3 linked regions of the Sus scrofa genome follow. The protein of the gene in region 1 interacts with the protein of each later gene in a pairwise test. Links are inferred from orthologs where the notes say so. Each region holds a gene or a part of one and is shown in the gene's direction. Other genes may lie near its edges.

Region 1 (10,038 bases):
AGCCCCACGTTCTTCTCCCATGGAGACACCAACTCCCCAACAATACTCGGACTGATTCCCTTTATGAGAAATCCAGAAGCCAGTGAAGAGGCTCCTGAACCTTGGGTGAGCATAAAATCAGCTGTATTGGAGTTCCCGTCGTGGCGCAGTGGTTAACGAATCCGACTAGGAACCATGAGGTTGCGGGTTCGGTCCCTGCCCTTGCTCAGTGGGTTAACGATCCAGCGTTGCCGTGAGCTGTGGCAGAGATTGCAGATGTGGCTCGGATCTCGTGTTGCTGTGGCTCTGGCGTAGGCTGGTGGCTACGGCTCCAACTGCACCCCTAGCCTGGGAACCTCCGTATGCTGCAGGAACGGCCCAAGAAATAGCAAAAAGACAAAAAAAAAAAAAAAAAAAAAATCAGCTGTGTTATAGCCGGAAGGAAAATTCACAGCACTCATTCACCATGGTCCTTCCCCTGGCCCGGACCAGTGTAACCAGAGAAAACCCTCAGCTCCTGGCTTCTCCCTGAGAAGGGGAAAGAAAAGACTGGAACATACATCCAACATGTAGCCTCTCAGGGATGCCTCTTTGACTAGCTTCTGTCTTGTTTGCATCCAAGTGTGACAGGGTGCCAGGCTGGGGGCTGCTGAGATCTAGGTGAAGGTCTGGACTGGCACACACTCACTATCATCCCTACCCCTGGCTCAGCACAGAACAAGCAGAAGAAAAGCCCCAACTCCTGGCTTCTCTCTGGGGAGGGAAGAGTTAGGATGTGTGTCTGCCATTCTAGCTTTCTAGGGAGCTGCCTGAGAGAATGGTTTCTGTCTTGCCTGTCTCAGAGTCCTGACAGGACCCAGCATGCTCTAGATACCTGGGGTGCCTCTGAAAATAAAAGAAAGCTGGGCAAAAAAAAAAAAAAGACTGGAGTTCCCATTGTGGCTCAGCAGTAACAAACCTAAATAATATCCATGAGGATGTGGGTTCGATCCCTGGCCCTGCTCAGTGGGTTAAGGATCTGGGGTTGCCATGAGCGGTGGTGTAGGTCACAGACACAGCTTAGATCTGGCATGGCCGGCAGCTGCAGCTCGGATTCAACCCCTAGCCTGGGAACTTCCATGTGCCATGGGTGCGATCCTAAAAAAGAGGGAAATGACAACAACAACAAAAAATGGCTGGGCAGGTTGCTGCTGCTCCTAAGGACTCACAGTACAGAGACAGAGAGACCAATGGAAAGAAAGGAGAGGAGCATGCATCCAAAGCGCCTGCTTTTCAAGGGGCAGCACAAAGGACTGCTTTCTGTCTTGGCCAACTTGAAAACAGGATACACCAGAAGACTGGGGGCTGCTGCAAAGGCTTGCAGCACCAAAAACAGACACTAGAGGGAGCAAGAGATTATTAGCTCCTGAAAAAGCCAGCAAATTCCTCCAGTTGGGAATTTACATGCACACAAGTCTAGAGAAGATATTTCCACATATACGGTTTGAGAGGCCCCAGATTCTCTAGCCAGACTGACTGGCAAAGGTCTTTCCTTGTACAAATCTGGTCCAAGGGACTAGGAAAGGTAATTGTTTTTTCAAATTCATGGGTCTAAGCACAAAGTTGCAAAGGACATGAAAAAAACACCAAAACAAGGAAGGCCTCATCAAAACAATAAAATAAATTTCCAGAAACCAACCTTGGAAACAGAGGTTTATGAATTAGCTGACAAAGAGCCCAAAATAACAGTCATCAAAATGTTCAATGAGCTGAGGAAAACAATACAGAACAAAATAAGAATATCAACAGAGAAATATTTTAAAAAAACAAATTTTGGGAGTATCCCATTATGGATACTACAAATCTGACTAGTATCCATGCGGACGTGGATTCGATCCTAGCCTCGTTCAGTGGGTTAAATATCCAGCGTTGTTGTGAGCTGTGGTATAGGTCACAGATGGGGCTTAGATCCTGCTTTGCTGTGGCTGTGGTGCAGGTCAGTGGCTATAGCTCCAATTCGACCCCGAGCCTGGGAATCGCCTCCATATGCCTCAGATGCAGCCCTAAAAAAGACAGGGAAACAAAAAACAAAAAACCCCCAAATTCTGGAACTGAAGAATAACCAAATTGAAAAATTCACAACAGGGATTAAAGAGCAGCCTGGATCAAGCAAATCAGTGAACTCAAAGACAGACATTTGAAATTACACAGAGGAAGAAAAAGAAAAAAGAGAGAAAAACAGTGAAGTATGCCTAAGGGACTTACGGGACATCGCCAAGCAGACCAATATAAACATTATGGGAGTCCCAGAAGAAGAAAGGAGAAAGAAAGGGACAGAAATCTTATTTAAAGGAATAATGGCACCAAACTTCCCCAACCGGGGGGAAAAAATGGACATCCAAATTGAAGAAGCCCAAAAGATCCAAAGGATGTTAGTAACACAAAAGCATATGAGGAGTTCCCGTCGTGGCGCAGTGGGTAACGAATCTGTCTAGGAACCACGAGGTTGCAGGTTCGATCCCTGGCCTTGCTCAGTGGGTTGAGGATCCAGCGTTGCTGTGAGCTGTGGTGTAGGTTGCAGACACGGCTCAGATCCCGAGTTACTGTGGCTCTGGCGTAGGCCTGGCAGCTACGGCTCCAATTAGACCCCTAGCCTGGGAATCTCCATATGCCACGTGAGCGGCCCTAGAAAAGGCAAAAAAAAAAAAAAAAAAAAAGGCAAAAGAAAAAGCATATGAAAGCATAAAATTCACTGGTAAGGTATGTACATGACAAACACAGGGTACCGGGACATGGTAACGATGGTGGCTAAGTCACTTTTAATTCTGGTTTTTAAGTTAAAAGACAGAGACTTTTATGTTTATTTATTTTTAATTAATTTATTATATTTTTTTGCTTTTTAGGGCTGCACCCAAGGCATATGGAAGTTCCCAGTCTAGGGGTCAAATCGGAGCTGCAGCTGCCAGCCTACACATAAGCCACAACACCACCAGATCCAAGCCATGACTGAGACCTACTCCACAGCTCATGGTAATGCTGGATCCTTAACCCACTGAGCAAGGCCAGGGACTGAACCTAAGTCCTCATGGATACTAGCTGCGTTCGTTACTGCTGAGCCAGGATGGGAGCTCCACAAGAAACTCATTTTAGGTGTAAGGGAACATGTAGGCTGAAAGTGAAAGTTTGAAATATATTCCATGCAAATGGTAACCAAAAGAAAGCAGAGATGGCCCTGCTTATAAAAGACAAAACAGACCTCAAGTCGAAAACTGTCACAAGAGTTAAAGCACATAATATAATGATAAAAGGGTCAATTCACCCTGAGAATATAAAAATTATAAATACACATGCTACCAACATGAAAGCACCCTCATGTATGAAGCAAATATGGACAGAACTGAAGGGAGAAATAAACAGCAACACAATAATAATTGGAAAGTTCAAAAACCACTTTCAGTAATGGATAGACCATCCAGACAGAAAAATCAGTAAGGAAAAAGAGGATGTGAATACTGTAAGCCAAATGGACCAAATATACATATACAAAACATTCCATCCAACAGCAGCAGAATGCACATTCTTCTCAAATACAATGAGAACACCCTCCAAGATAGACAGCATATTAGTTTATGAAACAGGTTATGAAACAAAAAGACTAAAATCATAAAAGATCTTTTCTAACCACAACAGAATGAAACTAGAAATCAACAGCAGAAGGTAAAAACTGGAGAATTCAAATATGTGAAATTAAACAACACGGTCATTCTAGAACAACCACTAGATTAAAGGAGAAATCAAAAAGGAGTTCGAAGATATACGGAGAAAAACAAAAACACAACATCAAAAAATTATGAGACTCAGCAAACGCAGTACTAAGAGAGAAGTTTACAGCCTATAGCCAAAAAGAAAGAGCGTATGAAGCTACGTCAAACCATGAGAGATACTGGAAAAGACCGAAAAAGAACACAGAGAATTAAGAACAGGGAGAAGGGGTGCCCAAAGGCTGTGGGGAAATAGGTGAAATCTAAATTAGGTCTTCCACGAAGACTGATCGGTCAACGATATCACGAGACCTGCACACAGTGGGCTCAGGCAAGGATGGATGCGACCTGAATCTCCTACGTTGCAATATCGACCTCTCCTTGGGTCTGCCCTTGCCCTGGGTTATTGAGCAGTTCTATGCTTCTCGCGGACTCCATGATTGCGGAGGAAGACGAGACACAGTTCCCACTGTGTCCTGCTCAGGACCCTAGAACCTCCACTCTCCTCACCCGCGAAAGAGCCGGGAATACGGTGGCCACCGCCATTTCCCCCGTCCCGCATCGGAAGCTTGCGGACCGTCCACTTCCGGGAACTTCCGGGCACAGCGACGCTGTCTGAGCCGGAAGATGCGTCCTCGCGCATGGCGGAAGTGGCTGTGCGTGTGACGCCGGCGGCGGGGGGGGCGGGACCTGGGACCGAGAGCGGTTCGCGCGCTTCGGGCCTAGTCCGGACTCGCCGCCGCCGCCGCCATATTCCCGGTAACGGGGGCGCGCGGCCGGGGGCCGGCTGGGCCGGAAGAGGGCTCGGGGACGGCGCCGAGGCGGGGAGGGGGTCGGTTGAGTTTGGGGCAGCGGGAGTTGGCGGGCGGCGGGAGGCGCGGGCCTTTGAGGGAGGGGGCCGAGGGCGTCGGGCCGGGTCTGTGGGGAGGGAGCGGGGCGGGCCTACCCCGGGGCGAGAAACTAGGCCTGGGTGTGGAGCCAAGGTGGCTGGAGCGCTGGTACCCGCAGGGACTCTAGCCGGGGCCGCTTGGGGCCTAGGCAGGTGCGGCGGGCTGAGGCTGCGGGCTTCGCCGCGGTCGTTCTTCGCAGCGCCATCCGAGGGCCCCTAAGAACAGAGGCCTGGACTTTCTCATCGCTCTACGGGCAGCCGCGCCGCGACTCTGGTCGGGCCCGAGGGTGATGGGCAGCGAGCCCCGCGAGCCCCAGCGGCCTGGGAGAGCGAGGGGCGGCGCGAGGCCGGGGGCGGGGCGGAGCGGAGCGGGTGGGGCCGAGCTTGGGCTGCCGGGATGCTGCGTCTCTGGAGACAGGAGGTTGGCAACCAATGCCCTCCTCCCCACCCGGGACCCTCATGCCTTCTAACTCTTGCTTCTTTCTGGATACCGCAGTGGCATCTTTCTTACCTTGTGCGTTCTCCGGGCTCGAGATCTTTCTTCCGGAACCATGTCAGAAGGAGTGGATTTAATTGATATATACGCTGACGAGGAATTCAATCAGGTGAGGGGTCATCTGGAGCTTTGGGAGTTCCCTGTGTCAGCGGAGGAAGCCCTTGCGGCAAACTTGCCGTGGTTCCAAGCTATGTCAGTCCTTGAGGATTTACTAGGTCTGAAGACATCATGTCAGATCTAACAATTTCCCCTCTAGCACAGACGTTGAGGACGTCTGACCATTCCGCTTATGTTAATTTAAGTCTTCAGGCTTCATTTTAAAGGCTTTAAGAGCAAATAAAAATCAGGTTTAATAGAATGGTGTATCAACCTGTGGAACTTGCTCCCCTAGGAAGCTGAAGTTGGGTGTCAGTCTCTTCAAAGACTAACCACGCTTAGAAATCAGAATTAGATTTGCTCTGGTATTCACGAGGACAACATTGATGTCTGTTCCTTTGAGATTCTCTCAAAGCGCAGCTGGAGTACTCTCCTCCCCCATGAGGCAGCGCAAGGCACAGTATGAAAGATACTTTAACGTTTAATTTCAGCTGCATTCCAGTTGTTTTCTGTTTTCCTTCCTTCCAGGCTTGACTCCAGTCTTGAGAAGTCCGTAGACATTTTAGTGTAATAAATTTTAGTGATGTATCTAATTGCTTGGTGGGAGGAGGTAATGGTGTCAAACAAACCAATTAAGAAGATGATCTAGGGGAGTTCCTGTCGTGGCTCAGCGGTTATTGAACCCGACTAGGATCCATGAGGACGCAGGTTCGATCCCTGGCCTCACTCAGTGGGTTAAGGATCCCGCGTTGCAGTGAGCTGTGGTGTAGGTCGCAGACTCTGCTCAGATCCCGCATAGCTGTGGCTGTGGTGTACTGTGGCTCCGGTTTGACCCCTAGCCGGAGGTTTGGACCTAAAAAGCCAAAAAAAAAAAAAAAAAAGGAGAGGAAGAAGATATAGACTCACTCAATATACTCTTAACTTGGGGTCGTTGTTCTCTTTGTGTTATGTCAAGGAACGCTGTACAGCGATCTCCGTTGAAACAATAATCTCATATACAGTTTAATTCTGAGCTCTTGAGAACACACCTCAAGTACGTTCCAAAGTGTCTATTTAAAGCTTATTAATATCATGCCTGGATTGTTTTCAGCACTGTTCTACTTGAGTAAGCTGGTTCTTTCAATTGGCAGCATTCAATGGCTGTATGTAAGGACCTGGAAAGAGGGTTAAAAAAAACAGGCTAGAGAGTTCCCCTGTGGTTCAGCAGGTTAAGTATCTGGCATTGTTACTAGAGTGGCTCGGGTTGCTCTTCTGGTGCAGGTTTGATTCCTGGCCCTGGAACTTCTGTGTGCTGAGAATGTGCCCCCTCCCCCCACAAATAAAACGGCCTAGAGAAGAAAGTGCCCTGATGGACCCTGATTTTGATACGAAGCAATGGAGGAGGTTGATACATGTCATTTCTTTCACTTGCTTAAGTTAGTCATTTCCCCATGTCTTCTCAGGCAAAGTGAAATAATTTGTATATTACTGCTGATTAACCTGAGTATGTTAAAGTTTTACAAATTTCAAACAAGTCAAATCATTATTTACGGATAAAAAGAAAGGATTAGTATATTTAATTACAAACCATTGTTTTCCTGACTTTTGCATGTTACTTTGAATCAGACTTTCACTACTTTTTATGTTATGTTGATTTTTTTTTTTTTTAACAGTGTGAGATAGCAAGAAAAGAAAGTTCCTTTAGTTCTTTTCTGTTAATTGAAAAACCTCAGCATTCCCTTGTGTTGTGGCGAGTTAAGGATCTGACATTGTCACTACAGTGACTTGGGTCACTGCTGTGGCCCAGGTTCAGTCCCTGGCCTGGGAATTTACACATTCCACAAGGGCAGCCCCCCCAACACCTTTTTTCCCCTTAATTTCCTTATCTGTGGGTTAATAGCAACATTCTACTGAGTATTTAAGCTGCTGATTTCACTTTTAGAAATGGAGAACAGGATTCTAGACCACAAATCAAGCCTCATTGGTCTGAGAGATGAGATTTCGTAATTTTTAAGCGGTATAGCTTGTAGGTCATAGACAAGACAAGCCTTATCTAATGGTCACTGCTTTGTCAGGGTAGAAGTCATTGGCCTCAGCTATTTGTTCTCTGATCTCTTTAGTTAAACGATTTTTTTTTTTAATAGGTCTAAGACAGCCCAAAAATGATTTGTGAAACCTAGTCGACATTTATACAAGATAGACAGTAGTTAATGCTTGATAAGTTGAAGAAGGTATAGATTTCAAATGTCTGTGTCTTGGGGAAGTCCAGGGGAGGGGTGCTTTTTTCCCCCACAAATGAGTTAATTTTTAGCCAATCTGGTTTTGGTACAATTTGGAGGCTGCTAAAGAAGTGGTAAAAGCTCTGTTTGGCTAGAATTGTTAGAAGCAAACTTAGATGGAAGGCAACCAGTACAGATTGTGTTTTAGAATGTTTCAAGAATGTTATTGATTCACCCCAAGGTTACCCATGCACAAGAACCTTGTCACGTGTACTTTGCTCCCCAGGGAAAATAAGCACAGTTCTTAGATGGAGCCCTACATGCGGACTCCCAGATCTCTCACAACGCATGCTGCAAAAGCCTCTTGTAGAACTAACTACTTAACTCTTGTTACACTGGGAGTCTTGGGATTCACAGCTGCCTCTTGGGCTGGAGAGGACAATTCTGGAAAAGTAATTGAGAGCTACCATTCTGCTGAGTATTTTGCCTCTGTTCTGTTTCTTCTGCTGAGACAGGCACTTTGCACAGTACGCCCAGTTTTCTCCTTACTTTCATCAACAAGTATTTATTGAGCTACTTCTGTTTGCTAGGCACCGCTTTAGGATTAGCGAGCTAAAAGGGGAAAAATGGATTTCTGTGCTCAAAAAAGGTTCCATTCTTGATGGCTGAGGGCAATGGATAATGACAGGGAAGGAGAGTGTGAGGAGAGAACTGTGGAAGTAGTAATTACAGAGCCAAGAACTGAGCTTTGGTTACAGTTGAAAGAAACAATGATATCAAATAGGTTGCTTTGGGGAAAAATATCTTAAGCTTTGTTATTCCCCTGTAGCTATCAGGAAAAGGGCTAGCAGGTAGGTCCATTGAGCATACAGGGGGAGGAGTTCGTTTGTTCTTTCTTTCTTTCTTTGGCTTATACATGCAGAAGTGTCTGGGCTAGGGATTGAACCCCAGTGTAGCAGTGACAACACTGGATCCTTAACCACTAGGCCACCTGGGACTCTGAGAAGTTCTTATTTAAACTCAAAATCATACAAGTTCTTTTTTTTTGTAAAACCAAAAGCTTCCTGAGACAGCTACGAAGCACACAATTCTGGAGTTCCCATTGTGGTGCAATGGAAACAAATCAGACTGGTATCCGTGAGGATGCTGGTTCAACCCCTGGCCTCTCTCAGTGGGTCAGGGATCGGTGTTTCCATGAGCTGTGGTGTAGGTCACAGATGCAGGTTAGATACCCTATTACTGTGGCTGTAGAGGGTAGCTGTAGCTCCGATTCAACCCCTAGCCGGGAACTTCCATATGCCATGGGTATGGCCCTCAAAGTCAAAAACAAACAAACCCACACAATTTTTATCTGGTATTAATTCAGTATTAAATATATACTCCTTTTTACTTTTCTTTTTTTTTTTTTTAAACAGCCTCACCCACAGCATATGGAAGTTCCTGGGCCAGGGATTAGATCTGAGCCACAGCTATGACCTACGCTGCAACTGCAGCAATGCTGGATCCTTTAACCCCCTGTGCTGGGTCAGGATTGGAACCCTAGCCACTGCAGTCAGATTCTTAACCCACTGTGCCACAGCAGGAACTCCCATTTTTCTTTAATCTCCCTGGAGTGAAACCTTCAGCATCAATGCCTATAAAACATTCTGTTTTTCCACTTAAGTTGTAGAATTAGGTTTTGCTTAAACTGTGGAAATCACCAGCTCATTTGGTAATCAGAAAAACCTCAGGCCCTCAGCTGTTTTTCTGTCTTAGTAGCTGAAGAATAAAATTAGCTGATATTGCTAGCAGATTTAAATCCAAACACTTGATATGTTGTTTCTTCAATAAAATCTTCAGCAGAACCTTCAACAGGTCCTCCTTGTGCATAAGAAATAAGAACAGTTCCCATAAACTTGTTTGAACTGGGCCTCTATGGTCTAAAGAGACCGTTTGAATCTTGTGATAAGGTAATCCATACACCAGGATTTTCCAGGATTGAGTCCATCATATTTTCTGAGGAACACTGAAAGAGTAGGTTGTTTGCCTAGGCTTACAGTATGGGGGATTTCATGTTTGATCTTTGAGCTGTCCAAATCTGCATGTTTACTACCCAGTTATCAGCACTGGTTTATGTTTTACAACTTTTAGACAAGCAGCTCTGGATCACAGATACCGCATGGAAGGAATTCCAGTTTGGTTCCACTGACCATCCAAGACGTCGTTTCCTCATTCCCTTTAAGTTCCATTTCACAATCCTTGATAGACGTATATATATATATATATATATATATATATGTATATATATATACACGCCCTGGTGTGAAATGTGAGGTACTGCAAAGGATTAGAGCATTGGAGAGGATTGGGTGGTTTCTAAGTCCTTTCTCTACCCTGAACCATAAGGGCAAATATTCTTAGTACATGAATAAATAAGTGGTTTGTCTAGAGTTAGGATTGAGACATAAGGCTGTGGATGGAGTATTTCACACACAAAATGTCCAGTTATTAACCCCAGCTTTCTTCACCTTTTTAATTTATTATCCATTCTGTGCTTTCCAATGTTAGCTTCTCCCCATTCCTCACATATATACTCATCCTTTTTTATGCAGTCCTTATTTACACATTTGATTACTTAAAGTCTTCTTGGGCTTATTTGCC
Region 2 (10,313 bases), on another chromosome or scaffold:
CCATAATCACCCACCACCTGATGGATGAAAGGTCTAGTCCCGACTAGATCCTGACTTATCTCCGGGTTGAAAATCCCCTCTCTTCACCAGGTGTCACTTTATGTCTGGGTAAGATGAAGAATTTTTCATCTTCCCCATCTCAAACTCCATACCCATTAAACACTACCCCACCCCCGCCTCAACCCCTGGCAACCACCATTCTAATTCTTGTCTTGAATTTGACAGTTCTAGGTACCTTATGGGAATGAAGTCATAAAGTATTTGTTCTTTTGTGACTGGCTTACTTCACTGAGCCCAAGGTCTTCAAGGTTCATCCAGATTGTAGGATATGACAAGATTTCTTTCCTTTTTAAGGCTGAATAATATTCTATTGTAAGTGCATATACTATATTTTGTTTGTACATTCATCCGTCAATAGACTTACTTCTATATCTCGGCTATCAAGGATAACCCTGCTACAAACATGTCTATACAAATAGCTCTTGGGGTCCCTGATTTTGCTTCTTTAGGGATATATGCCTAGAAATGGCATTGCTGTGTCAAGTGATAATCCCATATTTCATTTATTGAGGAACTGCCATTCCATTTTCTACAATGCTATACTATTTTACATTCCTACCAACCATGCCCAAGAGTCCCCATTTTCTATACGTCCTTACCAACATTTATTTTCTCCTTTTTCTCTTCTTTTTTGGCCACCCCCACAGCATGTGGAAGTCCCCAGGCCAGGGACCAAATCTGAGCTGGAGCTACGCCACAGCTGCAGCAATGCCAGATCCTTAACCCACGATGCCATGGTGGGAACGCCTATATTCTTGTCTTTTTGCCATTTCTTGGGCCTCTCCTGTGGCATATGGAGGTTCCCAGGCTAGGGGTCGAATCGGAGCTGTAGCCGCCGGCCTATGCCAGAGCCACAGCAACTCAGGATCTGAGCTGCCTCTGCAACCTACAGGCCTGCTCAGGGCAATGCTGGATCTTTAACCCACTGAGCGAGGCCAGAGATGAACCACAACCCCCACGACGGGAACTCCGATATTCTCCTTTTTTGATAAGAGCCATCCTAGTGGGTATGAAGTGGGTCCACGGGTATCTTTTTGTTTCTATGACTTCTTTCAAAATTGAAGGTTACTTTGTGTCTATATAATTTTTTACATAAGTAGCATTATGTCATTTGTTTCATTCTGTGTGCTTTTTGACTTGGAACTGTTTTGAAGATCCACCCCTTTGTTCTGTGTACATGGAACTCATTGTCTCTAACTTGTGCATAGTACTCTATGGGGGCACCAAACATGTCCATGTGTATTGAAGGCCTACTGTGTGCTTGGTGAAAGCTCTCAACCTGGGTTGATTTCCTACAGCGATCTGAAGAGGTAGGTATTATTATTCCCATTGTACAAATGAGGAAACTGGCACACAGAGTTAAGCGACTTGCCCAAAGTCTTACAGCTGAAAATGGGGGACTGGACATTTTACTTCAGGTCTCTCTGGTGCCACAGGAGAGCTCACATGTGTAAGATGCTACAAAGAGCCAAGAAAGAGTTCTGACTGAAGACAGAAGTGCTCTCTCAGGTGAGGGCCCTCTGAGGAAAAGTCTAGTCCTGACTAGATCCTGACTTATCTCCGGGTTGAAAATCCCCTCTCTTCACCAGGTGTCACTTTATGTCTGGGTAAGATGAAGACAGACCAATTTTATTGCTCTTTCTAGATTCACCTCTTAGTGATGAACACCCTTTTGGCAAATGGAAAAATCACCAGAACTGAAGACAGGTGTTTGTTTCTTTCCAGCATTCCACCTGCCAGCCGCTCCAAAGCCATGAAAACCTTCTGGCAAATCCTCTTGCGAGGCTCCTCCCCATAGGACTATTCCCAGTGAAATGGAGTTACCGCCTCCGGCCCCATCCCACCTCTCTTGAACTTTGCACTCGCTGTGATAAAAAATTAACCCAGCTAATGTTTCCCGTCCAAGGACAACCTCTGCAGAAGCTGGCCAGGCTGGGCCCCAGCAGACCAGGCACCAGATCAGAGTTCCTACCATCCAGAGCCACCCACCTGCTCACCGACCGAGGTCAAAGGAGCATGTAGGGTCCTCTTGGCCCCCAAAGAATCCAAGCCTCAGCCCTCCTCACTGCTTTGTGTAATTGAGCTGACTTCCCCAACTCTTCTAGTGGAGGAACTGAGGAGGCCAGAGGAGAAAGAACTGGCCCGGAAGTGGCACTTGTTGGACTCACACGTGGGTCTGGTGGTGTTTTTCTGCATGTACAGCTGTCCCTGTCCCGTGGGTGCCAGCATATGAAGGCAGTGCAGGACAGCATGGTTCAGCCATGCTAACTAGCTGCTGACTAGTTACTGCCTCCCCTCAGGAAGACAAGGGGCCCTTCCTGTGCCATGATTCAGAGGCTTAGGATCATGACAGGCCCGCCCAGTGCATTCAATCCTCGATCTCTCTTAGGCTCCTGACCTCCAGAGTGCAAACTGCCCTTCACCACACCTGGCATCTGCCTGATAAAATGAAGGGCTTCCACGGATGGAGAACAGCGTTAGCGCTCTTTCTAGGTTCGTAATAAGAATTGTGTGCTCCATTCTTACAGCTGAAGAGAACAGATGCTCAGTGTGGTGAAGGGAGAGGGAGAGCTAAGATCGAAAGCCAGGTCAGTCATGATGAAGCCGGAGGTCCTTTGACTGGATCTGACTGCCTCTCAACAGTTGGACCTGCCTGATTTGATCTTCAGGTTAAAAGGAATGTTTTACTGGGATGATGGCAAGGGCCCTTTTGCAGGCACACAGCTAGGGAGCTCCTTAGGTTAGGGACCTAAGTTCTTTCATTGGATTCCCAGCAGTGGAGGTGCTCCATAGACATAAGTCTAACCGAATGCTGCCTTCCATTCTGCTTGGCTCTTTACTCTTCATACGGAGTTCCTGGGCCAGGGATCAGATCCAAGCTTCAGTTGCGAGGCACTGTGCTGGACCAGGGATTGAACCTGCATCCCAGCACTCAGAGACACCACTCACTGATCCCGTTGCACCACAGTGGGAACTCCCCCAAGGCGTGTTTCTATTTCTTTACAGCACTTGATGTTTGCAAAGCTTTTCCCATTGGATCCCCACAACCACCCTAGGAGGTTGAGAGGAAAGCTACTTCTAGCCCCATTTTACAGGTGAACAAACATTTCTTGTAGTATCACAATAGTGCACCTGTGTAAAGAACTTTTGTGTTGCAAAGAGCTCCATCTGTGATGTCACCTTCACCCTCCCAGCTCTGTAAGGCAGCTGGCTGGGTGCAGTGGCAAGAATGTGGACCGAGGCCTCACAAGTCACTGGGTCCCAATCCCAATTCTGCCCTGGGAATCTCGAGTACATGTTATAACCTCCAACCTCAGGTGCTTCATTTGTAAATGGGAGGCTGGGGGACATTTACCTCCAGAGCCACTGTGAAGACAAAATCAGAGGAAAGCACTTGGGCTACCTGGAAGGAAGAAAGCCATCAATAAATGTTGATTGCCTTCCTCCCTGCTCTGGTCTGAGGAGGGCTGGGAGGAAGGGAGTGAAATGAGATGACGCTGGCTGCCAGTTAGCTTGGGGATGGGCCAGGAAGGGGAATCAGGTCATTAAGCCCGGGTTGGGGTTCAGGGATTCCCCCTTAAGGTCCCAGCAGGCGGGGAGTTAGAAGAGAGGAAGACAAGGAGCCCAGTTAGTGCTCAGCCCCAGTGCGGACAGGCTGGTAGGAGGGCAGTCACTCCTACTTGCAGGGGTCCCTGCGCTTCTGGGCTGATTTTGTGGATTAGGCCACACCTCACAGAGCTTTGTGACTCCCCACCCGCCAGAGTTTGCAGATAACTTCTTTCTCACCACAGGAGTTTCCTGCTGTTAAAAACAAACAAAGGCTAGAGGCCTGGTAGGGGAGGGGCAGCAGGAGAAAGGCCCTGGGGTCCTGGGGTAACTCCTGAAAGCAGCTGCAGGAGGGGTCTGGGGGCAGATGCCCTTGAATTGTGCTTCTGGGGAGAGAAGCCCCAGAGGGCCCCCAATATCTTGGTATTTCTTTGCTTCCCACCAGAGCTAATTTGGAATACATAAGGTTCCCCGGTACTGCCCTCTTGCCCCACTTTTTTGCAAGTTCACAGCTTTGAAAACAAAGCTCTTGCCTTCTATTTATAGGGTGTTGAATTTCGGCTCTTTGCTCATCATAAGATTCCAAATACCCTGTAATGAAACTTTTCCTCCAAAGATAAATTCTGAAGCGCCCCGTCCTGAACTCAACGGATACCTTTGAGGCCCGTTTTCTGCTGGGCACTTGTTTCCCAAGGCCCCTGGGACCCCCTGGCTCCAGTTATTATACAGGGAGTCACTAGGGTCCCCGAATCTCCACTTCTGAGAGCGAGCCCCTTCCTAATCCCTCCTTCGCACGGTCTCGGGGCTCTAAACCGGTAAGATCTCACCGGTGCTAGAATTAAAGGAGCCCTAGAGTCACCGGCGCCACCAAGGTCCCTAACCGGGATTCGCGTGCCCGCATACCAGTGCGCTGCCAGCCTTCCTGGGCCTCAGCTTTGCGCACGCCCTCTCTCGGACCCGGGTCCTCCCAGGGATGCACGGCCAGCCTGCGGCCAGACGTCGTGCGTTCGTGCGAGCCTAACCCTCTCGGGCCCGCCACGCCAACTGAACTTTCTTAGTGTGGGTTCCGAGAGCGGACGCCACGGCCCGAGCCCGGCCCTCCCGTCCGGGGCCCCTCTCGCCGCTCCTTTCCCACGACTTCCTCCCGGCGCCCGCCGGATTCAGGTCAGGGCCGCGCGGGGTCTTGCGAGCTCCAGCCAGGTCCGCCGCAGCCCCCGGTCGCCCACGTGGGCGTGCTCCGCGCCGGGCGGGGGACGGCCCGGCGCCCTCCCGGAGGCGGGGGGCGGGCAGGGCGCCCGCGGGAGGAGGCGGCGGGGCGCGGGGGAGGAGGCGGGGAGCCCCGGCGGCAAGGGGGCGGTGACAGCGCTTGGAAAGGAGGCTGCACGCGGATTTGCATGAAACACAGACTGGGAGCGGGCGGGAGCGGGAGCGGGAGCGCGGCGCACGCCCCGGGCCGGCCCAGCGAGCGAGCGAGAGAGCCGGGAAGGAGGAGGGCAGCAGGGAGGCGAGGCTGCCGAGGCGGAGGGATCTGCGCATCAAAGCGAGCGAGGCGAGCAAAGTTTGGCTGAGGGTTGGACTTTCCTTCCTGGAGGCGGCACCCAAACAGCCACCCCGTGCGGAAACCCAAACTTTCTTCTGCCACTCGGAGCCCCGCGGCCGCCGCCTCCGCCCCGCGTCCGGGGCCTTCCCGATCCCGTGCCGCTGCCGCCCGCCCTTCTCCCCGCCGCTCTTCTCCTCACCGAGGGAGCCGCCCGGGGCACAGGGCCGCACGCCGAGCCCCGCAGGCTGCAGCGCCGCGGCCCGGCCGGGAGCACCGGCAAGTTCGCCGAGAGTTGAGGCGAAGTTTGGGCGGCCGCGGCCAGCCCGGCCGAGCTCCCCGCTGCGCCCCCGGCGTTCCGCCGCGCCCAGCCCCGCCGGGGGCGCCCCTCGCCGCCCGCGCGCCCTCCCCAGCCATGTCGTCCATCCTGCCCTTCACGCCCCCGATCGTGAAACGCCTGCTGGGCTGGAAGAAGGGTGAGCAGAACGGGCAGGAGGAGAAGTGGTGCGAGAAGGCGGTCAAGAGTTTGGTCAAGAAGCTCAAGAAGACGGGGCAGCTGGACGAACTGGAGAAGGCCATCACCACGCAGAACGTCAACACCAAGTGCATCACCATCCCCAGGTGGGGGCCCGAGGGACCCTGGGGCGCGCCCGCCCAGCCCCCTGGCGTGGCGGGGGGTTGGAACGGAGGGGTGGCCTGGGTGCCCGTGTGTGTGTAGGGGGGGGGCGGTGGGAACACAGACAGGAAAGCGGGGGACCCCAAACAAAACCTTCTCTGGATTTGCAGAGATTCAGAGCCTGAGGCTTCCACACGGCATTCGCGCTCCCAGACCTCGTATTCGCTTTTCACCTCCGGGAAAGCGGGTGCTGCTGGAATCGGCGGCCCCCACCCCGGGGGAGCTGCGGGCTAGAACTTGAGGCCCGCTTTGTTCAGCTCCGCGGGCCGGAGCCCCTCCTCCGCCGCCGCCTCCCGCCCCCGCGGCCCGCGCTCGTGGAGGTGGTGGTGTCTCTCCCTTTCTTTTCTTCATCCCTGTCCCCCCACTTCTTTCCTCCTCGGCAGGAATGCAGTCCGTACAGCTGGGGCTGTGGGTGAGGAGCGGGAGCCTCGTGATTGACAGATTCCTTCTTCGTTCTCTCTTTGCCTTCGGGATTAGCATTTTTATCGAGTATTTTTAGATTCGGTTGTGCCAGTCTCCCGCCCCCTCCGCACACACACGCACTTTACTTGCAGTGGGGTGGTCTGACTTTCAAATGAGAGAGATAAGTGGCAGAGGGTAGGGTCTTCTCCCCCGACTGTTTTTTGGCCCACCTTTCAGCCATAGATTGCGAGTGGCTGCAAAACGCGGGGGGCTGAGAACTGAGGAGATAACAAAACGCACCCCAAAGGGGGGCCTCGCCTCGGCCCTCGCATTCCTACAGAGCCTTCCTTCCCAAAGCGCTGTGCCATCTGTCTGGACCTCCTTTATCCTCCACTTTGCGCTAGCTAGGTCAGGCGGGAGCTCACAGATGGCTGATAGAAGGGGTCAGTGACTTCTCTCCACTCCCCAGGGCCTTCTTTTAGCTTCGCTGCGCCTGGCTGGGAATTGGGGTGTGGGGGCACCATAGTCTCCTGTCTTTCCCTCTCAGCCAGCCCCCTTTAGAAGTCCGATTCTGCTCCAAGGGAGTGTGTGTGTGTGTGTGTGTGTGTGTGTGTGTGTGTGTGTGAGAGAGAGAGAGAGAGAGAGAGAAAGTGTGTGTGTGGGGGGGCAGGGTGGGGTGGGGTGGGGGAGATGTCCTTTGGGTCCTGGGCTGCAGAGGATTGAGTGGAGGGTCCCCAGGGCCTGCACCCCACAGAAATTGCCATCCTTGCTGCTGGGGCCAGGAGTGAACTCCGTCCTTGGCCACCTGCTTGGGGCAGCTGTATAAAGGCTGCCAGCCGTGTCAGGCAGGCACAAAGCAACATCTGTCCACGGGAACCCAGGGCAGGCCTCCCCTGGAAATAAATGCTGCATATGGTGGGAGTGCTGACTTGAAAAATAATAATTTTTTTTTTCAAAACTGGGTGGATCCAGTCAATAAAGCGGGAGGGAAGGCAATGTGCTGTCTGGGAAGTGTGTTCTGGGCGTGTGATCAGGAGCCAGAATTGACTTCAGAGGAGGTGGTGTGATGTGATGGTCAGTGAGCCCTAGGTCCTGGTCCCAGCCCTGGTGCTTAATTCTTCTTTATTCCTTTGGATGAGGGTCAAGGAGTAGGGCGAACAGATGTCATACTTCTCCCGCCTGGGGAGGGGTTTGCAAAACCTGCCTTCTTACCTGTCTCGGTGCCTTGAGGGCAAGGGCTTTATGCCTTGAAACAGGAAAAAAAAAAAGTATCAATTATAAAATGAGCAGCTGTGTAAAGCGTTTTACAGTTTACCAAGGTCTTTCACGTGGTTTTATGAGAGCAAGAAAAAGAAACTCCTGGAAAATAGATAAGGCAATTAGGCCTAAGATTTATCTTGTTTTTAAAGTTGAGAAAACTTTGGAGGCGAGAGGTGAAAAAGCTTGGTGTAGTAACGGGATTCTGACCAAATGTGCTCCTTCTGCTAGGCCAGGCTGCTCTGCACTTTGAAGCTTTGGAATACATTCTTTGCTGACCGCTAAAGCTGTGTTAGCCAGAGGGATGGGCCCCTAGGATCTTTGTTGGTAACATTGCCAGTGTCGGCCTCTGGGCTAGTGACAGCCTGGAGGAGAGGCCTTGTTCTCCCTTGCCTTAGTAGGAGTTTGCCCTCTGGGGAAGCACAGCTGTGGTCTGTCTTTTCCTCTTTCAAAGTCCTCTGCAGCCCGAGGTATTGGACACTTCAGGTGTTTCTGAGAGTTCAGGTTAACTTGGCCTTCTCATGATTCTCTTAGGACTGGGCCGTCTTCTACCTGTCTGGCAAGGACCTAGTGCTGAGGCAGATTTTTTTTTTTTTCCATCTTTTTCAATTAGGGAAACCCAGTCGCTTGGGTGGATCCAGACAAAGTGGATTTCCATCCCTGGTTTTTGTGCCCACGCCGCTGGGTCACCTTGTCTCCCTTGGCAACTGCTGCTGCTGTTTTGGTCGTGGGCTACAAACTAAAGGCCACATCTTGGGGAGGTGGCTAGCTGGCCTCACCCCAGGGACATCGGTGTGTTTCTGAGCCCCATAGATTGTGGTGTTGCTTGTCAAATTGTCTGCTCTCTCCCCGCTGACTTTTATGACTAGGGCTTTGGAAAGTTGACAAAGGGAAGTGTTTAACCTAGTTATCCTACTGTGTGTGGGAGGTGGGGCCCTGGGTTCTTAAAAGTATTCTGCAAGATCTGGACCTTGGGGTTTAAGGAGCCTTCAGTCTAAGGAGATTTTGACAAGCGTATTTTGGCTAATATGTAATCATGAGCAGCAACAGCACGGTTTGGCAATTAGAGCTGTTAACTCGGGCCTCCCAGACTGCACACTTGTGTCTCTTGCCCCGTCTCTAACCTGTCTCAGTGATCAGGACAGCTGGAGTGAAACAGGCTTACTGACATCAAGAACGTAAGAGAGACAGGTGCCAAGGCTGTGGTAAGAGCTTAATTTAGATACACCAACAGAGGGGCTCTCAGGATACTCCGAGGTCTGGCAGGATGGGCAGAGCTTGGACAAGTTGTGTAACAGCATCCTACTTGTCACCTGCTTGAGTTCCCGAGTACAGCTGCAGGTATCTTCCTGACCAGTTGATAAGAATGGACTTATAGCATGTCCCACAGAGCAGTCGAGAAGGTATGTATATGTTGTGTCGGTGATCAAGAGCCTCGCACACACTTAAAAATGACTGTTCTAGACTCACTGCCAAGGGGGAAGGGATGGATTGGGAGTTCGAGGTTAGCAGAGGCAAATGATTATGTACAGAGTGGATAAACAACAAGATCCTGCTGTGTAGCACAGGGAACTATGTTCAGTATCCCGTGATAAGCCAGAATGGGAAAGAGTATGAAAAAGAGTGTATACTTTAGAAATTAACACAACATTGTAAATCAGCTATACTTCAATAAAATAAATTTTAAAGAATAGGATTATTTGAAGAAAAATAAAAAAGACTGTTCTGATGGATAGCAGTAACTTGTCTTCCCACCGATGGGATTCCTGCCCAGGCCCAGCTGTTGAGAGCGGGACCATGCTTAAGGCCTGGTTTGTCTGGATGGGAATTTGGGCTTTCTTATGTCAAAGCACCACGTCCAGAGGGAAATGGGGGAATTGAACCAGATGCCAGGTCTGACCCCCACCCTCTCCTCCCTACCTGTGCATCTGTTCTCTTGGCACCGCCTCCTCCTATTACCCACCTAGACTTTGCCAGGCTGCTCTCACCCAAGGAGAAAGAGAAAAGACCCTTCTCTCTAACGCTCCTTCCTCAGACTTCTGGGGACACACCAAGGGTGCAGGAGTGGCCTCTTTAATCCCCTCTCCATCTCAACTTCTCATGTCTTCTCCCCTTTCTCAGCTGCTGCTCAGAGCACCATCCTTGGGTGGCCCCCCAGAAGCAAGCGCAATTGTGGCTGCTGGGGGGTGGCCCACCCTCTCCTCTCTCTTGTTCCCCTTGATTAGGGGAGTTCCACACAAGGGCTGGGAAGAGGAGGGACCTGCAGGCCATCAGGTAGGTGACTGTGTAGCTGAACCTAGGAGCCATCTGATGTTCCCCTGACATTTGGAACCTTGGCATGTGCTGCCTGTGCTTTTCGGAGTTGAACATTTGGGCCAGTGCTTGTTGCAGACAGCCCCTTGCTCACGGTTCCTAATCAAGGGCTCCAGGGTTGCATTTTGTGAATTCATCGTTATTTTTTGGTCTCTCCCATGTCTGTGTCAATATTCCAGGCAGGGGGCGGGGAGGATGCCGAGATAAATTTGAGATGGCTCCTGCCTGTGAGGAGCTTACACTTCAATAAGGGAAACATTAGTAAGGTGTTATCTTTGAGTGTCTATTTCTCTTATTCCCAGCCATCAGAAAAAATAAGAACTCTGGGAGGGAGTGATATTTGGGGGGAGTGTGGGAGATTTGTGTTGTGTGTTTTCAATATTGTGGAAGTCACTATGTTAGAAAACAAAACAATGACAGCTATCTGTATTCTCCAGAAAAAAAGCACAGAAGTCAGGTCCTGTGTCTTGCTGTTTTAATACCTGGATGGATTTAGCAGTTCCCTTAATGTCTTAGAGCCTT
Region 3 (10,245 bases), on another chromosome or scaffold:
AAAAGTTCAAAAATAGGCTAACCTAAACGGCATTACTTAGAGAGTCACAGAAAAGCGGTAAAACCATAAATATGAGTAAGGAAATGGAGACCACAAAAATTGAGAGTTCCTGCTGTGGTACGCAGCAGCTCTGGTTGCTGCAGAGGTACAGGTTTGACCCCCTGCGATCCTTTAACCCAGTGCAGTGAGGTCAAGGATCTGGCATTGCCACGGCTGCACTGCAGGTCACAGCTGCAGCTTGGATTCAATCTCTGGCTTGGGAACCTCCATGTGCCACAGGTGTGGCCATTTAAAAAAAAAAAAAAAGAAAGTTAAAATAGTGGGTTTGGGAAAGGAATGTGAGAGCAGTAGGAAGCCTTCTGGGACACCCACAGTATAGTCAGTATAGTTGTTATATGGGAGTCTGGTTTATAATTTTTTTTTTTGTCTTTTTTGTCTTTTGAGGGCGACACCTGCAGCATATGGTGGTTCCCAGGCTAGGGGTCAAATTGGAGCTATAGCTGTCGACCTACGCCACAGCCACAGCAACGCTAGATCTGAGCCGTGTCTGTGACCTACACCACAGCTCACAGCAACACTGGACCCTTAACCCACTGACCGAGGCCAGGGATGGAACCCACAGCCTCATGGTTCCTAGTCAGATTCATTTTCGCTGTGCCACGACAGGAACTCCTGGTTTATAATTTATATATACATCCTATTATATTCTGTTCTACTATATATACCCACCTTATAGATATATTTGCTACATATATATATATCTACATATATCCCTACTAAATATACCCCTAGTGTGCATATATGTATTCTTCACATACAGTAATATATAGCTAACATCCTTACTATATGAATATGATATATGTCACTATTATATGTTTTTATTATTAAGTATTTTTTAAGTTAAAAAAAGATAAATCCCCTTTGCTGCTCTCACAGGGCTGCTGAAAAAATATGCACCAAGACAATGGATGTGACAGTGCTGTACAAGCAGTAGTTGGTGTTATGACTCACCCACCCTTTATCCCCAGATTTCTGAAGAGGTTGCTGCCTTTCCCATCTCCAGCTCTCTGCCCATTCCCAGTCTAGGACTTCACGCCTTCCCTAGCCTGCCCCACCCCAGCCCTCCTCCCCAACACAGCTGGGCCTACGGTTCCTGTTTCTCTGCTAGGATCTGCGCATCTGTGTCCCAAGGTGGGGGTGATCTATCCTGCCTTCCATCTGAACTAGCTTCTCAGAGGTGTCCCCTGTCCTGCACCTCAGACAGCGCTGCACATACTGAGAAGCCCCACAGCAGATCCCAAGGCAGCAAGGCTTGAGGCTTTGCCCTCCTTTCCTCCCCTAACCTCCCTATGCCCACAGGAACTCTGGCTGAGCCCAGGCAAGGGCATGGGCAGGGAGAGCCACACTGCTGTGGTGGAAGCTGTGAAAAGAAGAGGTCAGGAGAGGAGGGAGTGAGGTGAAGCCTTCATTCAAAGATCACTGGACAATCTGAGGGTCCTAATTAGCTATGGTGGTTTCAATTCCAGGACACACTTAATTGCAGCATCAACCCAGGACGCAGCCCCTTGTGACTCTGACTGCAAGATCAGTCCTTTCAGCCCCCGAAGGAAGCTTAGTGATCTCCAAATCCAGGCCTCCAGGAAGCCCCTCAGACGCTGTGCTTTCTATCAACAAATACTAGATCCCCACTTCCTCTCCTTCATGGCCACTGGACAAATCCTGTACATGAGCTGGGAGAGGAGAGGGAAAGAGGGTTTGCCTAGCCATAGAGCATCTTCACAGCCTGACTCACAGGCAGTCACAAGCCTGGCGGGTGATGCAGGAGAGAGGACAGAGAAGAAGCACAATAATACCAGGAATACATGGCTTCTGGGGATACATTTGAGGGTGAAATGGGTGAGAGAACAGTGACCCTCAAGAGACTAGAAAAGGTGCACTGGTAAGGTGAGAATGAGGCAGTAAGGAAGAGAGGAGTGAAAGGACAATGAGAGAACTAGGAACATTTAGGAAGTGTGTATGTGGATTAAGATGATGTCTGGGTCTCCAATTGTGTTTCCAGGCTCTTGATTCACACCTCATTCTTTCTGCTCATTTTGCTCCCCAAGTTGGGTGCTTTGCACACATCCTTGCCTCATCCAAAAGCTGTCCTTCATTTCCCCCAAGGACAGGGTTGCTCTCCTCCCCTAGCGACCTTGATGTGGAGGTACAGCCTGATGGGGACTGTGGAATAGCCCCACCCCCTCTCTTCGTCCCTTCTCTCTGGTGGTCACCTGGGCGGTGGCCGTGCTCCTGCGTGGCTGCCTCAAATCACTTTTGAGTCTCGGCCCTGCCCGGCCGAATTCCTCCTTCAGCACCAGGGACAGCGATCAGAGCTGTTGTCTGGACACCCCCTCCCCCACCCCCAGCGTCCCTATTTTCCCTGGTCGCCTGCCCTGCTGAACTAGGCAGGTGCTGGGGACGGGAATGGGGTCGGTGGGAGATAGCAGAGTTCGGTTTCTCCCTCAGATTGACCCTGAGCCTTGAAATATGATAAAATTTCCCAGATCCCCAGCAAGCAGGACTGGAGGAGGCAGCGGTCCCTAGTTCCTGTATTCCCTGTGGTCCAGGTGGGGTGCCGGGTTCCTGAAATGGGAAATCCAGGTCTCTGTTAATCTGCTTGTCCCTTCCAGCGCCCCCAGCCTAAGAAGTCAGCCAGGATCTCCAGCTGGGGACCCTTTGCCCAAGAATTCCCGGGCTAGGTTGGGGGAAGTGACTGTCGGCCCCCCAAGGGACCCCTGGGCCGGAAATGAAGTGTCTGTGGAGGGTGGGGCTGGCCCGGCCCCGTGCCCCGGCCCGTGGAGGTAGGACCTGTGTCCCCCGCCCTCCCTGCCGGACCCTCAGTACCGGAAGTCGCTGTAGGGATGGATGATCCAGGCCCCCGCTGACTTGACCCGCTCCTGCTCGATTTCCACTGCTTTGTGGCTGCCGAACACACGAAGGGAGAACTTGTTGACCGTAGGCTGGAGCAGCGTCCCGAGCTGCCTCCTCTTGGGCTCAGGCCCGGGCCCGGACCCAGGGATCGGACCGGAGGCCGTGGTCGTAGACGCCGGGGCAGCAGGAGGCGCCGCCTCCAGTCCAGGGGTCGCCCCGTCGCTGGTCCCAGTCGGCGGCCGCTGCTCCGCCTCCATGACGCCTGTCGGCCTACACGTTTGGCCTCCTATACCCTGCCGCGGCCATTCGGGACCCCCGACCCTTTCCGGAGTCGGAGCGGGAGCAGCCGGGCTGGCTCTGAGCGGAGGCGTAGTCGGCTAGGAACTGCCGGCGCGCCGGCGGAGGGGGTGTGTGCGACAGACTCTGCCGCGGGTGGCAGGGGGGTTGCGCTGCGCCCCCTGGCGAGAGTTGCGGGAAGGCTGGGCAGGGCGGGCGGAGGTGGGGCCACCGAGAGACCTCCCGGGAGGGGGCGGAGCCAATAAAGCCTGTAACCGGAGGGATACCGAGGTGGGTGTGGCTTAGCCAATGTGGGCGGTCCCTCAGGTGCAGGGAGCGTAGGAGAACGCGGCCAGTGCCAAGAGGGCGTGGCCTAGAGCTGCGGTGCCTTTGACCACGGAGTGCCGGGGAGGCGGAGCCGCCTGAGATCCGCGGGAAAACCGGACGCCGGTTGTAGTTCGTATGGCTCCGGAGGGCGAGGAATTGGGAACCAATGGAAGAGGCAGGGATTCTTTGGGGATTCTCCTTCCTAACGCTTACGGACTTCCTGCATTTCACTTTTTTTTTTCTCTCAGCACTCTCCTAGGCATATTCTTAAGGATCTCCTCGTTACTGCTCCCCCGAGTATTTCATTTCTGAATTCATCTGCCACCTTCACCACAAGCAACTCGGCCCATCACTGAGCGACCGCTGAGGATACAAGGATGAATACAAAGCCCTAGCCATAAAGGCACTGCTCGTCTACGCCCGCAAACAGAACAGGTAAATTACAGTAGTATGTGAAGTAAATTCTTCCCTTTATCTCCATTTCTTATTGCCTCCGACTTATTTCAAGCCCTCAGCATTTTTTCACCCAGATTATTTCAGAAGCGTCTAAATAGGTCTCTCAACTCTCAGGCCAATTCTCCTTCCAGAGTTAACTTCCTAAATCTAAATGTAGCTATCTCACTTGCTTAATATCCTTCAAACTTCTTAGTGTTCTATAGGATTACGGTTAAATTCCTTAGAATGACAACACAAGGCCCTGCAAAATTTAGACCTCTCTTTTCAACAACCTCCCTTCTGATAGTCCCTCTCTTGAAAGCCAGGACTCCAATTCTGTTTAAACACTTCATTTTGCTTTGTCTCCAGACTTTTGTAAATACTTTCTCTGCCTAGCACTCTCCTCCAATTCACTTTCCATCCATTGGTTCAGATGTCATCTCCTCTAGGAAACCTAGAAACACATTTATAACTCTCCTTTCCCAAGCTAGGGTTGTAGTCTAGAGCTTTCTTACAGTGGCCAGGGCACCACTGTTCATAACAGCTCTTAGCACAAGGCTGCCATTATTTGTTTACAGGTCTTTCCCATTATACTATGAAGCTCTGAAGAACAGGAGCCTTGAGCCTGGCACAGTGCTGGACAGAGTAGGAACTTAATAAATGCTTTTTGAATGAACGAGGGAAAGTGTACACGGAGAAGGAAGTGAGGTTCACTTTCCTCTCCACCCCTTCATTACCCTTCAGCTTCTATTTCAAGAAACTTTTCCTAAACCATTTCTGGCCAACTGATGAAAAATTCCTTCTGACTATCCTCCACCCTGACTCCTCTCTGTTTCTTTACTTGAATATAGTTATCCTCAGGTTATTTTTCATTTTCCTAATTACTGCTCAATTCCTTCTATAACATCTGTAACTCTACCCAGTTTTTCTCGTCTTCTGCTTTTTTTTTTTAATTCACCAAATTTAGACTTATCATATATTATGTGTAGGTATATAACAAAGTTCTCAAGTGATTTCCCCTTCTTTGGCACCTGAATCTCCACCCCTCCATTTCTCAAACCTTTCCTCCAAAGCCATTACCCCCCTCCCCCATATACAGAACGTGCACCAGCTTTTGTTCAGGACAAAAGATGGGAACCCCTCTTTGCTGTGGTTTGGTAGGCGAACTGTTTCAAAAACAGGCTATGATGGAGACTCACACCTCACCACCAGGCTTCAAAAGGTTTGCGGAGCGATGACATTCCGTAAACCACAACCCCTTCCTTTCAACCTCCAAACCTAACAAAGCAAGCCACATAAGTCCCACGAAAAGGGTCAAAGATTGAGGAAGGATACGGAAGAACACCAGGCGAGGCAGCGCGAGCCCAATAAACCGCTTCCACTCTCTCCCCGCCCCCATGAGCTTCCGCCCCCAGCACCTCCTCGGCTCTCACCGGACAGCAGAGAGCTACGCTAAGACGCGAAGGCGTGCGCGGTCCTGGGGGGCGGAGCCTAGGGGTAGCTGGGAATCGACGCAGGACGTGCGTGCGTGCGTACGTGCTCGCTCGCGGTGGCGGCGGCGGCGGATCGGGGAGGCCAGAGCCGGAGACCGAGCTGGGATCGGGCCCCGGGCGGGGGCGGTGCGAGCGGCGCCAAGCGGATCCTGGGGGCGGGCACGGAGCCGGGGCGGGCGGGACTGGAACGGAGCCCGGGAACGAGGCGGGAGGTCCAGGGTCTCGGGTTGGGGGGGTGGAGCCGCACTTCGTCGCCGCGGGGGTGCCGGGACTCCGGCCGCAGTGCCGCCGCCATCACGGACTTCCTGTGGGACAAGCGCACGGGCCTCGCCGCCAGAACGGTGAGCGCGCGGGCTGGCGGGCCGCGGGGCCGCGCGGAAAGATGGCGACCGCGGGGCGGACGGGGAGAAGATTGGATTGGGGGCAAGGGACCGGGGCGAGCTTGGGGGGTGGGGTGGGGCTGAGACGTGCGAAGTGGCAGAGGTGAGGAGTAGGAAGATGAGGTGGAATGTCGCCCTGTCTTAGATGCATTGGTAAAGACCAATAGGAAAGTTAGGAGGGACCAAAGTAGGAGAAGGGGTGATGGAGTAAAGATAGGAGTGGTTGCAAAGATGAGAAAGAATAGAAATCTCAAAAGTTGGGCCAAAGCTGGAGAGGTTGGAAGACACCACCATGTCACTTGGAGGCTGTGGAAAGAGTTTGACTCTAGGAGTTAGTTCTGGATTTTCTAAGTGAGAAAGAGAGGAAAAGATTAGAAGTGGAGAAAGATTGTAAGCTGGAGATAGTTGGGGGGGAGGGTTGGAAGGAGGAAAGCCTGTGAGGGACTTTGGTGGCACTGTGTATGTAGTGAGATGACATGTGCGTGGCTGTGTTAAGCAAGGTTGGGTTATCGGGGAGAATCTTGTACTTGCGTCTTCTTGGCTTCCTGCAAGCCCTTTTACGCCTGGAATGAATCAAATGCCACCCTTCTCTTCAATTTGAGAAGTAGCTCAGAATGGAAGCCAGATGTTGGAATCATTAAGCCTTTTCCACACCTAATCCTACCACTGCCACCCCCAACAAGGTGCACCTCTGTCCCTGGCCCATGTACTTTCATTCTGCCCTGTAAGTCTCATCTTATTGGTTCCTGACAGTAATTTTCTTTCCTTGAAGGAAAAAAGAATTAGTGCACCCTGCCATTCCAATTCCAGTAACTGGAAGGTGGCCGGCTTTTAGCCAGGCAGTACTGATAATAATTAAAAAGCAGTTATTCGGTACTTCCTAACCCAAAAGGGAAGGGGCTGGGTGGAAAGCTGACTGCAGCTTGGGGCCTCCTGGATTAAAACCATTTAAGGACGATTTGGCCATTGATGTGAGAAATGTTCAAGGGGCCAGACCCAGATCCCTGGAACTTGCTTGTGTTTGGTATATATACTATAAGTGGAAAGCTGGAAAACTGGATTCTTACCCTCAGGATATAGATGGCCTAGTTGGGGAGATAAGATACACTAATGATTGTAAAACACCATAATAGCATATAGTGAAGCATTATTCATTATAGTAAAGCACAATAGCGAATGCAGCGTCGCACACATCCATCCAAAATCTCAGCCAAAGATGAGCTGTGGCCATCTTCGTCAATTACGTAGTCTCACCTGTAATGAGCTGTGGCCTGAATGTTGTCATGAAGCCATATTTGAGGAAAATCAGACTAGAGCAATGAACTCAGTGGAGTGAAGCTTCCTAAAGCTGTCAGCCAGAGTTATTAGGTGAATATATACTCCATTAAGCACAGAGGAAGCTGTGGGTGGTAAATACAGGTAAAAATTGAAGAACAGAAAGCAGCTTAGAAGAATTCCTGCTGTGGCACAGCGGGTTAGGCATCTGACTGTAGCAGCTCAGGTAGCTGCGGAGGTACAGGTTAGATCCCTGGCCTGGCACGGTGGGTTAAAGACTCTGACATTGCCACAGTTTCAGTATAGGTCACAGTCGCAGCTGGAATTCAATTCCTGGCCTGGCCCAGGAGCCTCCGTATGATACAGGTCCAGCCATTAAAAAAAACAAAAACAAAAAAACAGCTTAGCATCTCTGGAGGAGTCAGTCCTTGGAAGGGACGCCTGAAAACTCAGAGCTTGCCCCACTATTTCTGTTTATCCTTCCTTTCTAGATGCCTCATCCTCGAAGGTACCATTCTTCAGAGCGAGGCAGCCGGGGGAGTTACCATGAACACTATCGGAGCCGAAAGCATAAGAGACGGAGAAGCCGCTCCTGGTCAAGCAGCAGTGACCGGACACGGCGGCGCCGACGGGAAGACAGCTACCACGTCCGTTCCCGGAGGTGAGGCCTCAGGAAGAGAAACTCATACTTGATCCACTCATTCATTTGTTAAATTGAACAAAGATTTATTGGAGTTCCCATCGTGGCTCAGTGGAAACGAATCTCACTAGTGTCCATGAGGATGCAGGTTTGATCTCTGGCCTTGCTCGGTGGGTTAAGGATCCGGTGTTGCTGTGGTTGTGGTGTAGGCCAGTGGGTACAGCTCCGATTTGACCTCTAGCCTGGGAACCTCCATATGCTGCAGGTACAGCCCTAAAAAGACAAAAAGAGGAAAAAAAAAGATGTATTGGTTTCATGCTTAGCAGCTTGTGGATGTTTATGCTCAAAATGGGTAACAAGGAGTTCCTGCTGTGGTGCAATGGGATTGGCAGTTTCTTGGGAATGCTGGGACGAGGGTACACTCCAGCCTGGCAGTGGGTTAAGGATCTGGCGTTGCTGCTTGGGTCTCAGCTACGGCTCAGATCTGATGCCTGGTCCAGGAACTCCATGTGCCTCAGTGTGGCCCCCAAAAAATGGATAACAAGGGAGTTCCCATCATGGTTCAGTGGAAACGAATCCGACTAGTATTCATGAGGATGCCGGTTTGATCCCTAGCCTCAGTGGGTTAAGGATCTGGTGTTGCAGTGAGCTGTGGTATAGGTTGCAGACATGGCTCAGATCCTGCATTGCTGTGGCTGAGGTGTAGGCTGGCAGCTGTAGCTCCAATTCGACCCCTAACCTATGGGTGCGGCCCTAAACCCCCCCCCCAAAAAAAAGATAACAAAACAAGCCATTTGTACTGTAATGTTCAGTGTTATTACAGGAGTTTCTGCTGTGGTGCAGTGGATCAGGAATCTGATTGCAGCAGCTCGGGTTGCTATGGGCATAGGGGTTCTATCCCCAGCCTGGCACAACGGGTTAAAGGATTCAGCATTGCCGTAGCTGTGGCAGAGGTTGCACAGCTGTGGCTCTGATTCAGTCCCTGGCCCAGGGAACTTCCTCATGCCGCAGATGCAGCCATTAAAGGAGGGGTGGTTATCCCAGAGGAAGTGTGTCGTAAGGAGCCGAGGAAGCATCCAAAAGGTTTGATTGGAGTGGGGCAAGAACTGTTGTTCAGAGAAAACCTCCCAGAGATGGACATTTAAGCTTGTCTGAAAGACACGAAAGAAGTGTCCCAGGCAGAGGGAAAGCAAATGCAAAAAAAAAAGACTAGAGGCTAGAGGTTGCTAATAGACAAGACAAAGTTGGGGCTGCATGGTTTGAATAACTCAGCAGCATATTCCATGGGAGGGATGGGTTAGGGATAGTTTGGAGCAAGGCTACATGTCTGTCAGGAAAGGCTCGTGAAAGAAATGGCTCTGTTCCATTGCATCCCTAATGGGGAGGGGGGCGCCCTTCACAGGGCGTGGTTATACAGATGTCTTCAGAGCTTTCGGGGACGTGCAGCTGTGGGGATCTTCCTTTTTGCTGAGTTACCTACGTCACTGCACTGGGCCTTGGTCCTCTCTTGAGAGTGACTTGAATGTTTGAGGGCAACTTTTTCAGGCGTCACTCCTTGTCTTCGGTGATGGGGAGGGCCTTGTCACAAGCTATGGCCCAGCCAGAAATGTGGCCTGAACGAGTGTACCTAATGGGTGTCTGTTGCCCAACAGCAGCTATGATGATCGTTCATCGGACCGGAGGGCGTACGACCGGCGGTACTGTGGCAGCTACAGGCGGAACGACTACAGCCGGGATCGGGCCGAAGCCTACTATGACACAGACTACCGGCACTCCTTTGAGTATCACCGGGAGAACAGCAGTTACCGCAGCCAGCACAGCAGCCGGAGGAAGCACAGACGGCGGAGGCGGCGCAGCCGGACATTCAGCCGCTCATCTTCGGTGAGTGCCAGCCCAGGCCCTTCCTCTCCCCACTCTTCTTCAGCCCTTTGGGACCCTGGTAAGTGAAAAGTATCCGTATTCTCAGCTGAGCATTGGGGCATGAACACTGAGGTGGGCACTGAGTCTGTCTACTCTCTTGGAAGCTCTCTGACTCTTGGAGGGCCCTGGAACCTGCTTTGGAGATGGACGGGCACGAAGCATTTGTGAACCCCGTGCCCTCCCTGGCATGCGGGGCTTATTGTATTGGGAACGGCTCCTCCACCCCTGAGGCCTCCACTTTCTGATGGGGCCCTTGCCTGTGAATTGCTTTTCTCCCCCAAGCCCTGGGCTCCACGGCCCCCTCAGCAGGTGGGCTTGGGTGGGGGCAAGGGGAGATGTGTCCCCGCCTGGAAGGGCATTGCGTAGAGCATGGGGTTGTGGGTGACATTGGCAACGACACCACTTCTCTGCTCTGCCCGTGCCTCTCCCCGTTCCCGTTTTGGGTTTGGGGACTTGGGATTATGCGCCGCTCTCTCTTCTCACCCCGATCCGCCTTACTGCATCTGACGTGTTCCCTTCCACTGTCCCCCATCATCGTCTGTCCCCCCTGGCTGGGCGCCTGTGACCGGTGACCCCTCCACCACCCACC

Evidence for each region.
Region 2: the proteins of CPSF7 (region 1) and SMAD3 interact in binary tests that used the Homo sapiens proteins (3 or more experiments, as listed by UniProt). The two-hybrid records come from large-scale screens. The link is inferred for Sus scrofa from reciprocal best matches to the Homo sapiens genes CPSF7 and SMAD3.
Region 3: the proteins of CPSF7 (region 1) and CLK2 interact in binary tests that used the Homo sapiens proteins (3 or more experiments, as listed by UniProt). The link is inferred for Sus scrofa from reciprocal best matches to the Homo sapiens genes CPSF7 and CLK2.

What each region holds. Positions count from the first base shown.
Region 1 is NC_010444.4:10,083,237-10,093,274, forward strand, and holds the start of CPSF7 (cleavage and polyadenylation specificity factor subunit 7), read left to right. Parts: upstream 1-4,344; 5' UTR 4,345-4,360; coding exon 4,361-4,551; exon of another isoform or gene 4,552-4,949; intron 4,950-5,104; coding exon 5,105-5,213; intron 5,214-10,038. Other genes in the region: SDHAF2 (succinate dehydrogenase assembly factor 2, mitochondrial), read right to left, coding at 4,230-4,265.
Region 2 is NC_010443.5:164,993,081-165,003,393, forward strand, and holds the start of SMAD3 (mothers against decapentaplegic homolog 3), read left to right. Parts: upstream 1-5,376; 5' UTR 5,377-5,558; coding exon 5,559-5,764; intron 5,765-10,313. UniProt on the Homo sapiens protein: Receptor-regulated SMAD (R-SMAD) that is an intracellular signal transducer and transcriptional modulator activated by TGF-beta (transforming growth factor) and activin type 1 receptor kinases.
Region 3 is NC_010446.5:94,554,680-94,564,924, forward strand, and holds the start of CLK2 (dual specificity protein kinase CLK2), read left to right. Parts: upstream 1-3,605; 5' UTR 3,606-3,948; exon of another isoform or gene 3,949-5,426; intron 5,427-5,481; exon of another isoform or gene 5,482-5,782; intron 5,783-7,587; coding exon 7,588-7,757; intron 7,758-9,388; coding exon 9,389-9,617; intron 9,618-10,245. Other genes in the region: HCN3 (potassium/sodium hyperpolarization-activated cyclic nucleotide-gated channel 3), read right to left, coding at 2,884-3,167. UniProt on the Homo sapiens protein: Dual specificity kinase acting on both serine/threonine and tyrosine-containing substrates. Phosphorylates serine- and arginine-rich (SR) proteins of the spliceosomal complex.